3 linked regions of the Daphnia pulex genome follow. The protein of the gene in region 3 purifies or fractionates together with the protein of the main gene of each other region. This does not show direct contact. Links are inferred from orthologs where the notes say so. Each region holds a gene or a part of one and is shown on either strand. Other genes may lie near its edges.

What was found.
Region 1: the proteins of ruvB-like 2 (region 3) and MRG/MORF4L-binding protein-like purify together in Homo sapiens (co-immunoprecipitation; 5 studies listed by BioGRID and IntAct, counting the BioPlex papers as one, with this or other methods). This does not show direct contact. The link is inferred for Daphnia pulex from reciprocal best matches to the Homo sapiens genes RUVBL2 and MRGBP.
Region 2: the proteins of ruvB-like 2 (region 3) and DNA-directed RNA polymerase II subunit RPB2 purify together in Homo sapiens (affinity purification with mass spectrometry; 3 studies listed by BioGRID and IntAct, with this or other methods). This does not show direct contact. The link is inferred for Daphnia pulex from reciprocal best matches to the Homo sapiens genes RUVBL2 and POLR2B.

What each region holds. Positions count from the first base shown.
Region 1 is NC_060018.1:12,249,256-12,252,079, reverse strand, and holds MRG/MORF4L-binding protein-like, read left to right. Parts: upstream 1-1,285; 5' UTR 1,286-1,431; coding exon 1,432-1,552; intron 1,553-1,651; coding exon 1,652-1,773; intron 1,774-1,838; coding exon 1,839-2,099; 3' UTR 2,100-2,258; downstream 2,259-2,824. Other genes in the region: tRNA dimethylallyltransferase-like, read left to right, coding at 1-169.
Region 2 is NC_060022.1:1,081,586-1,085,334, forward strand, and holds the start of DNA-directed RNA polymerase II subunit RPB2, read left to right. Parts: upstream 1-824; 5' UTR 825-975; coding exon 976-994; intron 995-1,058; coding exon 1,059-2,544; intron 2,545-2,615; coding exon 2,616-3,162; intron 3,163-3,239; coding exon 3,240-3,701; intron 3,702-3,749. Other genes in the region: kunitz-type protease inhibitor 1-like, read left to right, coding at 104-161, 255-556. UniProt on the Homo sapiens protein: Catalytic core component of RNA polymerase II (Pol II), a DNA-dependent RNA polymerase which synthesizes mRNA precursors and many functional non-coding RNAs using the four ribonucleoside triphosphates as substrates.
Region 3 is NC_060021.1:8,103,904-8,107,659, reverse strand, and holds ruvB-like 2, read left to right. Parts: upstream 1-1,171; 5' UTR 1,172-1,267; coding exon 1,268-1,273; intron 1,274-1,380; coding exon 1,381-1,494; exon of another isoform or gene 1,495-1,554; coding exon 1,555-1,675; exon of another isoform or gene 1,676-1,694; intron 1,695-1,746; coding exon 1,747-1,897; exon of another isoform or gene 1,898-1,936; intron 1,937-1,966; coding exon 1,967-2,129; intron 2,130-2,189; coding exon 2,190-2,319; intron 2,320-2,415; coding exon 2,416-2,514; intron 2,515-2,589; coding exon 2,590-2,702; intron 2,703-2,773; coding exon 2,774-2,994; intron 2,995-3,059; coding exon 3,060-3,198; intron 3,199-3,265; coding exon 3,266-3,380; intron 3,381-3,448; coding exon 3,449-3,477; 3' UTR 3,478-3,683; downstream 3,684-3,756. Other genes in the region: uncharacterized protein LOC124194162, read left to right, coding at 11-58, 128-262, 351-503. UniProt on the Homo sapiens protein: Possesses single-stranded DNA-stimulated ATPase and ATP-dependent DNA helicase (5' to 3') activity; hexamerization is thought to be critical for ATP hydrolysis and adjacent subunits in the ring-like structure contribute to the ATPase activity.

The sequences.
Region 1 (2,824 bases), on a different chromosome or scaffold from region 3:
ACCTAGACGACGCCAACCAAGGAGCGCCAAGACGGACCGAGCTGACGAAGACGAAACAAACGCGGGCGGATCGCAGGAGGCGGCTTTGACATCCGCTCAGGCTGCCCAGGAGGAACAGCAGCAGCAGCCACAACTACCATCACTACAAATAGATCAGCAGACCTCTTAAACAACCAACGTTAGCGCGCCCAGCCTGCCCGGCAGACTTTGAAAAACAACACAAAAAATTCCCGTCTCTTTCCCTCTAGATCTTTTCTTCTCTTTCCGGAAAAGTCCTTAAATGATCCGGCGTCGTTTAATGATCCGCTTCCCTTTCATTCTTTTTTCTCTTCTCCAGGGCAGCCCGGCGTGTTGTGTGATATTTCTCCCGTTTGCCGGCCAATGTTTCGCACAATAAAACCAAAATTTGTAGAAGGAAAAAGCTGAAACTGAATGATAGTCAATTTGTCTGTGTGTGTGTTTTGTAAATTCTTTGGCTGAGCTGGGAAATGTTTGGGGGCTAAACGGCAATACACAAAAGTTTAGTACTAGACAATGAAGAGAGATGGAAGCGATTTCTATGGGTTTTTTATTTTGCTTTCTTTTCACCGTTGAAATAAACGCTGGCTGGTTTTCTACGCCTCAATGGAGTCGGCCGGCCTGCACGGCAGTTATATCATGTAATAACAGTTGTTTGGAGAGGAAAAAAATTGACCAATAGCTCTTTTTGTGTTCACCAGCATTTATTCCGTGTGGGAGGAGGAAATGGCTGTTTTGTGTCGGGACTCTTTTCCGCTTATTTTATTTTGATTTTACAGGGCGGATATTTCGTTTGCATTTACACACACACCAACGCCAAAAAACTCTCCTCCGTATTATTTTATTTCTTTTCCTTCCCATTTTCTGCTTACGCTTCGTGATCGTGATGATTCAACTGGTTGTGACCTTGGGAAATGGACACGGGAAATGGGAAAAGTATTTCGTCGGAATGTTTCGCCCAGGACATTCTAAGAACCGTGCCTGATTTATCATTCGACAATCTTGGTGTTGTTCAGATAACGATTAACTAACGTCGCTGGATTAAATAAAACAGGATGTTTGTTTTGTTTTGTTTTCTCTCCATTTTGGCTGACTGAATTAATTTCTGTCGGGTCAATTATGAAACATTTATACAACAACAGTTTTTTTAATTAAATTGTGAAAAAGAAAAAAAACAAAAACAAACTGACTAGCAGTTGAATAGTTGAATCACAGATGGCGTGTCTGCTAGCATAGCAGACGCACCTAATCCTACCAAAACCAAATCACAGATGGCGTTGCGGAGTGTGTGTGTGTAGTATTTTCACTTGTCAGAAGGGAGCCGGTTGTTATTTTCGTTTTCCTCAACCACTAGTCGAACGTCGGAGAAATCTCCATTCAATATCAACGTACTCAGTTAAAATCGATTGAAATATGGCCGTTAAAGAAAAAACTGAAGGAAACGAAGAGACTTTGGAGGCTGCAGAAGTGGAATGGGGTACCGTCGATAACGAATTGCAGCTGTTACAAATTCTGTGTGGCACCAGACCCATAGGTAATAAGATAAACGTTTGAAAATGACGACGATTTTCTACACTTGTTTCACAGCAGGTTTAATTTGTGTTAAATATTTAAAACATTTTCTTTTTTACAGGAATTAGTAAATACTTTCAAATGGCCTGCATCGTAGAAAAACTGGCAATGAATCTGAACAAAGAAGTCACTTCCAAAGGTGTTTGGGATCACCTGGCGAGCTTGTACGATCTCAAGAAACTGGTTTGTTCACTGTCATTAATATTCACTGTATTGTTTTGTATTAAAGTGTTTGTTTCTTTCTCTAGGATGAGCACGAGACGATTCCTTTCCCCAACGAAGAAATGGACTTTGTCCTTTCCACTGAGGAGTATGGCGAATTGATGGATAGCAAATTCAAGGATGCTGAATCCAAGAAAGTGATAAAGAAGGAAAAGGAAGAAGTTAAGAAGGAAAAAGTTCCTGAAACACCCCAGCCAATTGAAAAGAAAGCTGTGAAAAGAACAAGAGCCAGCACTGCCCCAAGCCCTGGAACACCGCAAATCACTCCAAAACGTCGACGAATTTGAAAACAAGAAGATGAATGACTTTTTTTTTTTTTACCATGTCAACTTTTTCGGCACTCGTACATTATTGATTGCGAAACCGTTTAATGAAATTTTGTAACTCGGGTATTGTGTTAAAAAAAAAATTTCGGCCGGACTAAAAAATGACCGCCCACTTCAAAATCATGCGTTTGAATTTTTATTCGTTAGAAAAACCTTTCCATCTTCAGTTTAATTACCTCACTTATTTTAGAGAGTTAAAAAAAAGTTGTCGATACGATTTCCTGTTTCTCAAGTGTATGAAAATTATAATAATTAAAAATGAATTCGACGTGACCACATTTCGAAAGAGTTGTTGGAAGAGGCATCGGAAGGAAGAGAATGCACCGGTTTTGTAGTGCGTTTCATTGCCACTTGAAAGCGCCCCAGTGCAGCACTGCGAGCAACTGTTTGTTCTGTTCTTCGGTTTTTTACAGAGCCCTCGCCGACGATGTGCTGGGATTTGCAACGTGTATTTTCATTCGTATAAAAAATTGATTGAAGAATTTATCTAAGTCGGGTAAGAACAACATTGATCAATAGTAGGTTTCTCTATCGATTCCAAAACGAAGCCAAAGTTGAGATAATTTAAGGATGAATCACCATTACATTTTCGGCCATGTGATGTCGCCCTATGAGTGTGTGTCTGTGTGTGTATCAAGTGAAGAGAGGGAGGACGTCACACACTGAATTCTTGAAAAGCTCATCAA
Region 2 (3,749 bases), on a different chromosome or scaffold from region 3:
GGGACTATAAGTACCAGCCGGTCGACTCCTTCCTTCTTCAGTCGAAAGCAGAAGAAGGTTTTTCCCATTTGCTCCATTCAACTCCATAAACTTCAACCGGAAAATGTCGGCTACGTTCGTCGTTATGCTCTGCCTCGTCGCTTTCTCCTCTGCTGCTCCTCGTAAGTGATTTTTTAAATCTAAAATTTTAGTTTTATGTAACATGGGCTTTTTCAAGCAATGCTCTTTTACGATTTATGAATATATTTGAATAGAATTGGCGGTCCCAGTACCGGTATTTGCTCAACGACCATTGGATCCGGTTTGTCTCTTGCCACCACTCAACCCCAAAGTGCGTTGCAATCAATTTTCCATCAAGTGGTACTACGACTCTGCTACCAGGGATTGTGAAAAGATTTTCTACACTGGCTGTGGAGGATCTGAAAATCTATTCGCCAGCGAAGACCTTTGCGAATTGCGCTGTGATCAAGATAATTTCGACAGCTACGAGAGCGTTGAGGACTTCCAGCAATATCCCTCGTTGCAGAAATTCAGATATTTCGTTCTTGGCAAGTAATCAATTGATGTAAAATGCTTTTCTCTAGCACAACGTTGTTATTCTTTTATTTTAAAAAGTAATTTAAAGAATTGTTCTTACATTGATCACATGGATTGTCTTTCAATGTAATCTATATTATTCAGTTAAAATTAATTTTGAATACACTTCTTATTTACTCACACAATACGAGTTGTTTCGTGTTTTAAAGAAAATATTTTTTTACCGACTTTTAAATAAACCGGCGAAATTAAAATATATCCGGCAACGCCACCTTGCGTCTCATTTTCGATTTGGCCGGCAGATGTCGAAATTGAGTTTTTCCGACAAGTGCGACAACAGTGAACGAAAGTCGACTGCCGGCTGCAAAGGCCAACGAATCTTTACATTGCAGTCGTTTTCTAATTCATAATTAATTTGTCGATTCGTATAATAACACAATGTACGATCAAGACGAAGGTAACATCAAAATATGATGATATTCATACATTTTTTTCTCATTCTAACGTGTCTTTTACTTAAGATCCGATCGAGGATGAAGATGGCGAGGAAATCTCTTCAGAGCTTTGGCAAGAAGCCTGTTGGATTGTCATCAACGCATATTTCGATGAAAAAGGTCTTGTGCGACAACAGCTTGATTCGTTTGATGAATTTATTCAGATGTCTGTACAAAGAATTGTTGAAGATTCACCTGCCATTGACCTTCAGGCAGAAGCCCAGCATTCTTCGGGGGAAGTAGAAAACCCTCCGAGATATGTCCTAAAATTTGAGCAGATTTACCTCTCGAAACCTACACATTGGGAGAAAGATGGTGCTCCGACAGCCATGATGCCTAATGAAGCAAGACTAAGAAATCTCACCTACTCTGCCCCGTTGTATGTTGATATCACGAAAACTGTGCACAAAGAAGGGGAAGAGCAGGTCGAGACACAGCATCAGAAAACATTCATTGGCAAAATTCCTATCATGTTGAGATCCACTTATTGCCTGCTGAATGGAATGAATGATCGTGATTTGTGTGAATTGAATGAATGCCCTCTCGATCCTGGTGGATATTTTATCATCAACGGCTCAGAAAAAGTATTGATTGCTCAAGAGAAGATGGCCACAAATACAGTGTATGTCTTCAGCATGAAGGACGGCAAATTCGCTTACAAGACAGAAATTCGTTCCTGCTTGGAACACTCGTCACGTCCAACCTCCACCTTGTACGTCAACATGTTGGCACGTGGTGGTCAGGGCATCAAGAAATCCGCCATCGGCCAGCGTATCATTGCCATTCTGCCCTACATTAAGCAAGAAATTCCCATTATGATTGTGTTCCGAGCCTTAGGTTTCGTGGCCGATCGAGATATTCTCGAGCACATCATCTACGACTTTGAAGACCCCGAAATGATGGAAATGGTGAAACCTTCGCTGGACGAAGCCTTCGTCATCCAGGAGCAGAATGTTGCCTTGAATTTCATCGGTGCTCGCGGTGCCAGGCCTGGTGTCACCAAAGAGAAGCGTATCAAGTACGCCCGTGAGATTCTCCAAAAGGAAATGTTGCCTCACGTTGGTGTGTCCGACTTTTGCGAGACGAAGAAAGCCTATTTCCTCGGCTACATGGTCCATCGCTTGCTGCTGGCTGCCTTGGGACGCCGTGAGCTGGACGATCGTGATCACTACGGCAACAAACGTCTGGATCTCGCCGGACCGTTGATGGCTTTCCTCTTCCGAGCCCTTTTCAAAACTCTCATGAAAGAAGTCCGAATGTACGCACAGAAATTCATCGATCGAGGAAAAGATTTCAATTTGGAACTGGCCATTAAGACCCGCATCATCACCGACGGACTCCGTTACTCGTTGGCCACAGGAAATTGGGGAGACCAGAAAAAAGCCCATCAGGCCCGCGCTGGTGTCTCTCAGGTGTTGAACCGATTGACTTTCGCTTCGACCTTGTCACATTTGCGTCGCCTCAATTCGCCCATTGGTCGTGACGGTAAACTGGCCAAACCTCGTCAGCTCCAGTAAGTCATTGATTTCAAATTATTTTCATCGGCTTTTGTTTATTACATAACATTTTTTAAAACTATTTTAGCAACACGCTGTGGGGAATGGTTTGTCCAGCCGAAACGCCCGAAGGAGCTGCTGTCGGTCTCGTCAAGAATTTGGCTTTGATGGCCTACATTTCAGTCGGTTCCCAACCGTCGCCCATCCTCGAGTTTTTGGAAGAGTGGTCCATGGAGAACTTGGAAGAAATCGCTCCGTCTGCCATTGCGGATGCCACCAAGATTTTCGTCAACGGTTGCTGGGTGGGTATCCATCGCGACCCGGAGCAGTTGATGGCCACCCTGCGCAAACTGCGTCGTCAGATGGACATTATCGTGTCTGAAGTATCGATGGTGCGCGACATCCAGGACCGTGAAATTCGAATTTACACGGACGCCGGCCGTATTTGTCGTCCATTGTTGATCGTCGAGAACTGCAAATTGTTGCTGAAGAAGCGCCACGTTGACATGCTCAAACAGCGCGAGTACATCAATTTCAGCTGGCAGGAACTGGTGGCCACTGGTGTAGTCGAGTACATTGACACTTTGGAGGAGGAGACGGCCATGATTGCCATGTCGCCCGAGGACTTGCGCCAGGTAAATTTTCTGCATTGATTTTTTCTTTCCCTACCCCACCCCATCCAGCCGTTGAATGTTTTGCTTTGTTTATCCAGGGTAAAGACGCCTACTGTACGACGTACACGCATTGCGAGATTCATCCGGCCATGATTTTGGGAGTTTGCGCCTCGATTATTCCGTTTCCCGATCACAACCAGTCGCCTCGTAACACTTACCAAAGCGCCATGGGTAAACAAGCCATGGGAGTGTACATTACTAACTTCCACGTCCGGATGGACACTCTGGCCCACGTCCTGCAGTACCCTCAGAAACCTTTGGTCACGACACGCTCCATGGAGTACCTGCGCTTCAGAGAGTTGCCCGCCGGCATCAATTCGATTGTTGCCATTCTCAGCTACACCGGATACAACCAGGAGGATTCCGTCATCATAAACGCTTCCGCCGTCGAACGAGGATTCTTCCGCTCCGTCTTTTTCCGATCCTACAAAGATCAAGAGTCTAAACGATCGGCCGATCAGGAGGAAACGTTCGAGAAGCCTTTCCGCGATCATTGCCAGGTAACCGATCAGAATTCCGGAATTTTTTAACTTCTTCGGTAATCACAT
Region 3 (3,756 bases):
AAATCGCGACATGGTGTCCCAGACTCTGTTATTCGGAGCTCTGCTTTTGTCGTTTTTGGTAAGCCTCTTGTTTTACGAAATAATTAATGAATTCTTAATCATTCGTTGAACAATTACTACATACGAGGTTGCAGATCGGCTGGAAGTAGTACAAGCCAGGCCCCCAATTAACTTTGCGGAAGAAGGAAGAAAAATTGACAAATATCACGTTTTGGGACTTCGCGGCAATTTTCACCGAAGGATTATATATATCAACAACATAGTACGTAATAAATATAATGGCAAATTGATTTGCACACATTTTTTGTCGTCTCTTTCTAATGCTTTGAACGATTACTTCCCATTTTTAGCTTTCAGACAAAGACTTGCCTAGAAAAACAACCAAATTAGCTGGCAAATTGGTAAAGAACAGTGTTCAGTTGGTTTTGTTGAGCTATTTAGATTACTTTACTGGCGGAATAACACCTACACTACGGAAGACGGTGACAGCGAAACACGGTTAATCAAAAATGTATAATTGTTTTGTTATTTACATTTAAAGTAACAACCCTGCTAAAATACTATGTCAACCATGAAACTGTTCATCTACAAAAGAATGAAAATTTACAAAAATCGAGGTATATTTTTTCCATGTGAAAAGTAACACAAGTCTCTTTCTCTCCCGTTTGGGAATCCCGTTACAAAAATGAAAATCTCTCTAAGTCTATGTCTCACTCAATGTACACTGAATTCACTTAACGTTTGTCCTGAAAATGCACGTGTCTCTGATCCAACAAATTTTACTTTATAACATTCTGAATTCCACATTTTCTAAAATTTTCATTTGGAAAAAGTCAGTAGATGCTAAATGGTTTGTGTAAAACAATCATAATCGAATATATGCATAAAAAATCTAAAAAAAAATTTGATTACGTTTGCGTTGAAGTAGTAATCGACACCAAAGATGTGTTTCAGACAGCCACTAGGCTAGCTAATGAGCTTTTGTCAAGAAATCATTGCTCCTTTTTATGCCTTTGAAAGTTGGAGCTAAAATCAGCATTGCCATGTTTGATAATTTTTTTAAGATTCGAGGAAAGTAGTAAATAAGTCGATAAGTGTTTTAAAATTTCATATAATTTAATTTAATAAAATTTAATGTTGATGTATAATATTACAAATGCTTTAAAAAAGAATGTAAAGCGAACAATCAATTCAAAACCGTTTCCATGGATACCACCGGCGTTGAACGGGAAGGATAGGAAACTCAACGCACTGTAAAAAGCAAATCATGGCGGTAATATATACACGTGTTATAATTCTTTATTTTGGATAAAATGGCTAATTTTTCCGTTTCCCTTGTGTGCTTTTTTTATTTCTGGACCATATCGTTTCATTTTTTAGGCGATCCCATCAGTTAAAGTAGCAGAAGTGCGAGAATTCTCTCGAATTGAACGAATCGGTACTCACTCTCACATTCGAGGTCTTGGACTTGATGATGCTTTGGAACCAAGAGAAGTACTTTTGAATAATTTGAATAAAAGAATCGTACAAGTTACATATCAAAATGATTGTTAGGTGTCCCAAGGCATGGTTGGCCAGTTGACAGCACGACGAGCTGCTGGTGTGGTACTGGAAATGATTAGAGAAGGAAAAATTGCGGGGAGAGCAGTATTGATTGCTGGACAGCCAGGAACAGGTTAACATTGTCTTTGAATCTGCAATAAACATCCCATTATTTGGTTTATAACACTTTGGTTTACTTTTTAGGCAAAACTGCAATTGCCATGGGTATGGCACAGGCTCTCGGGGACAACACACCTTTCACATCCATGGCCGGATCGGAAATCTACAGCCTTGAAATGAGCAAAACTGAAGCTCTAACTCAAGCATTTCGAAAATCTATTGGAGTTCGAATCAAGTAGATGTGAACTCAAAATTTGTTCAACCTAGAAATCTTGTAACCTTATTTTTCATTTGTTTTCAACAGAGAAGAAACTGAGATCATTGAGGGTGAGGTTGTTGAAGTTCAAATTGATAGACCTGCTACCGGAACTGGTGCTAAAGTTGGAAAGCTGACATTAAAGACAACAGACATGGAAACTGTGTACGATTTGGGCAACAAAATGATTGAATCCCTCATCAAGGAAAAGGTGTGTAATTTGTTTGACAAAAGTGTTTCAATTTTGTATACATATCTTTGTGTGGTTCAGGCCCAAGCTGGAGACGTCATTACCATCGACAAAGCCACTGGCAAGATCTCGAAACTCGGACGATCGTTCACTAGGGCTAGGGATTACGACGCAACTGGACCGCAAACCAGATTTGTTCAGTGTCCCGAAGGTATATTATTTAAATTCCAGTTTTGGTCAAGTGGTTTACGACGACGACGACGACATCGTACGATATTCTTACACCACTCCTATTCTATTTACGTAGGCGAATTACAAAAGCGGAAAGAAGTGACTCACACAGTCACCTTGCACGAGATTGACGTAATCAATAGCAGAACTCAGGGTTTTCTCGCCCTCTTCTCTGGTGAGCTCACATACATTTTTAATTTCCCGACCTTGAAAGTTTACAAAATTAAATCTCTTGTTTTGCATTCAATAGGGGATACTGGTGAAATCAAATCCGAAGTCCGGGACCAGATCAATAGCAAAGTCGCCGAATGGCGCGAAGAGGGCAAAGCGGAAATCGTCCCGGGAGTTTTATTTATTGATGAAGTTTGTGATTAAATCTTCATACCATTCTCCTTCCTGCATATATTTATTCGTACCGTCATGTCTCGACGTAGGTGCACATGCTAGACATGGAATGTTTTTCATTTTTGAATCGTGCTCTGGAAGATGATATGGCGCCAGTGTTGATTATGGCCACTAATCGTGGAATTACTAAAATTCGCGGAACCAAATATCGGAGTCCCCACGGCATCCCAATTGATTTGCTTGATCGGATGGTGATCATTGCCACGCAGCCGTACGTGGAAAAGGAAATGAAGCAAATTCTGAAAATCCGGTAAAATTATCATTTCAATTATTTGATGCGTTGGCTTTGCCTTAATTGATATTTTCTTTGCACAGGTGCGAAGAGGAAGACGCCGAGATGACGGAAGATGCTCTACTCGTTTTGACGAGGCTTTCCTTGGAAACTAGCTTACGCTATGCCATTCAGCTCATCACGGTTGCTAATCTCATAGCTCGCAAACGAAAGGCCATGGAGGTTGGTATTCAGACTGTATTCAGACAGCACGTTATTAATCATTTGCTTTATGCTCTTATCTAAATAGATTGCCGTAGAAGATATTAAAAAGGCGTACACGCTATTCCTGGATGAAACCCGTTCCACCCAGTATCTGAAGGACATTCAAGATGAATTCATGTTTAACGAAGAGGACGAACCAAGTAAGTACCTGAATCATTACGTCTGAGATTTTCTTTTGTGTATTCATTGAAAAATAACATTTTTACAGAATCTGACGTCGCCATGGAGACATCATAACTTAACTCAAAATTCCATTTTGAATGAAAAAGCTTTTTTTTTCCACATTTGTATCGTCTATCAAATAATCCCGTCAAAATAAAAAAGACGCCAAAAAAACAAACAACTACACTCACACGTACTGTTTAAACTGTTTTTCTTCCCGCCTCGTAATAATTGTGTACACCCGAAAAGAAGACAAAAAATACAAAAACACTTTCGGTCAAGCTGCTAGTTTCGGTTGATAGGTGGCTCTGAATGTCCTAAACTCGTCGCTTATTTGCGTCCGTTTGTTACGAC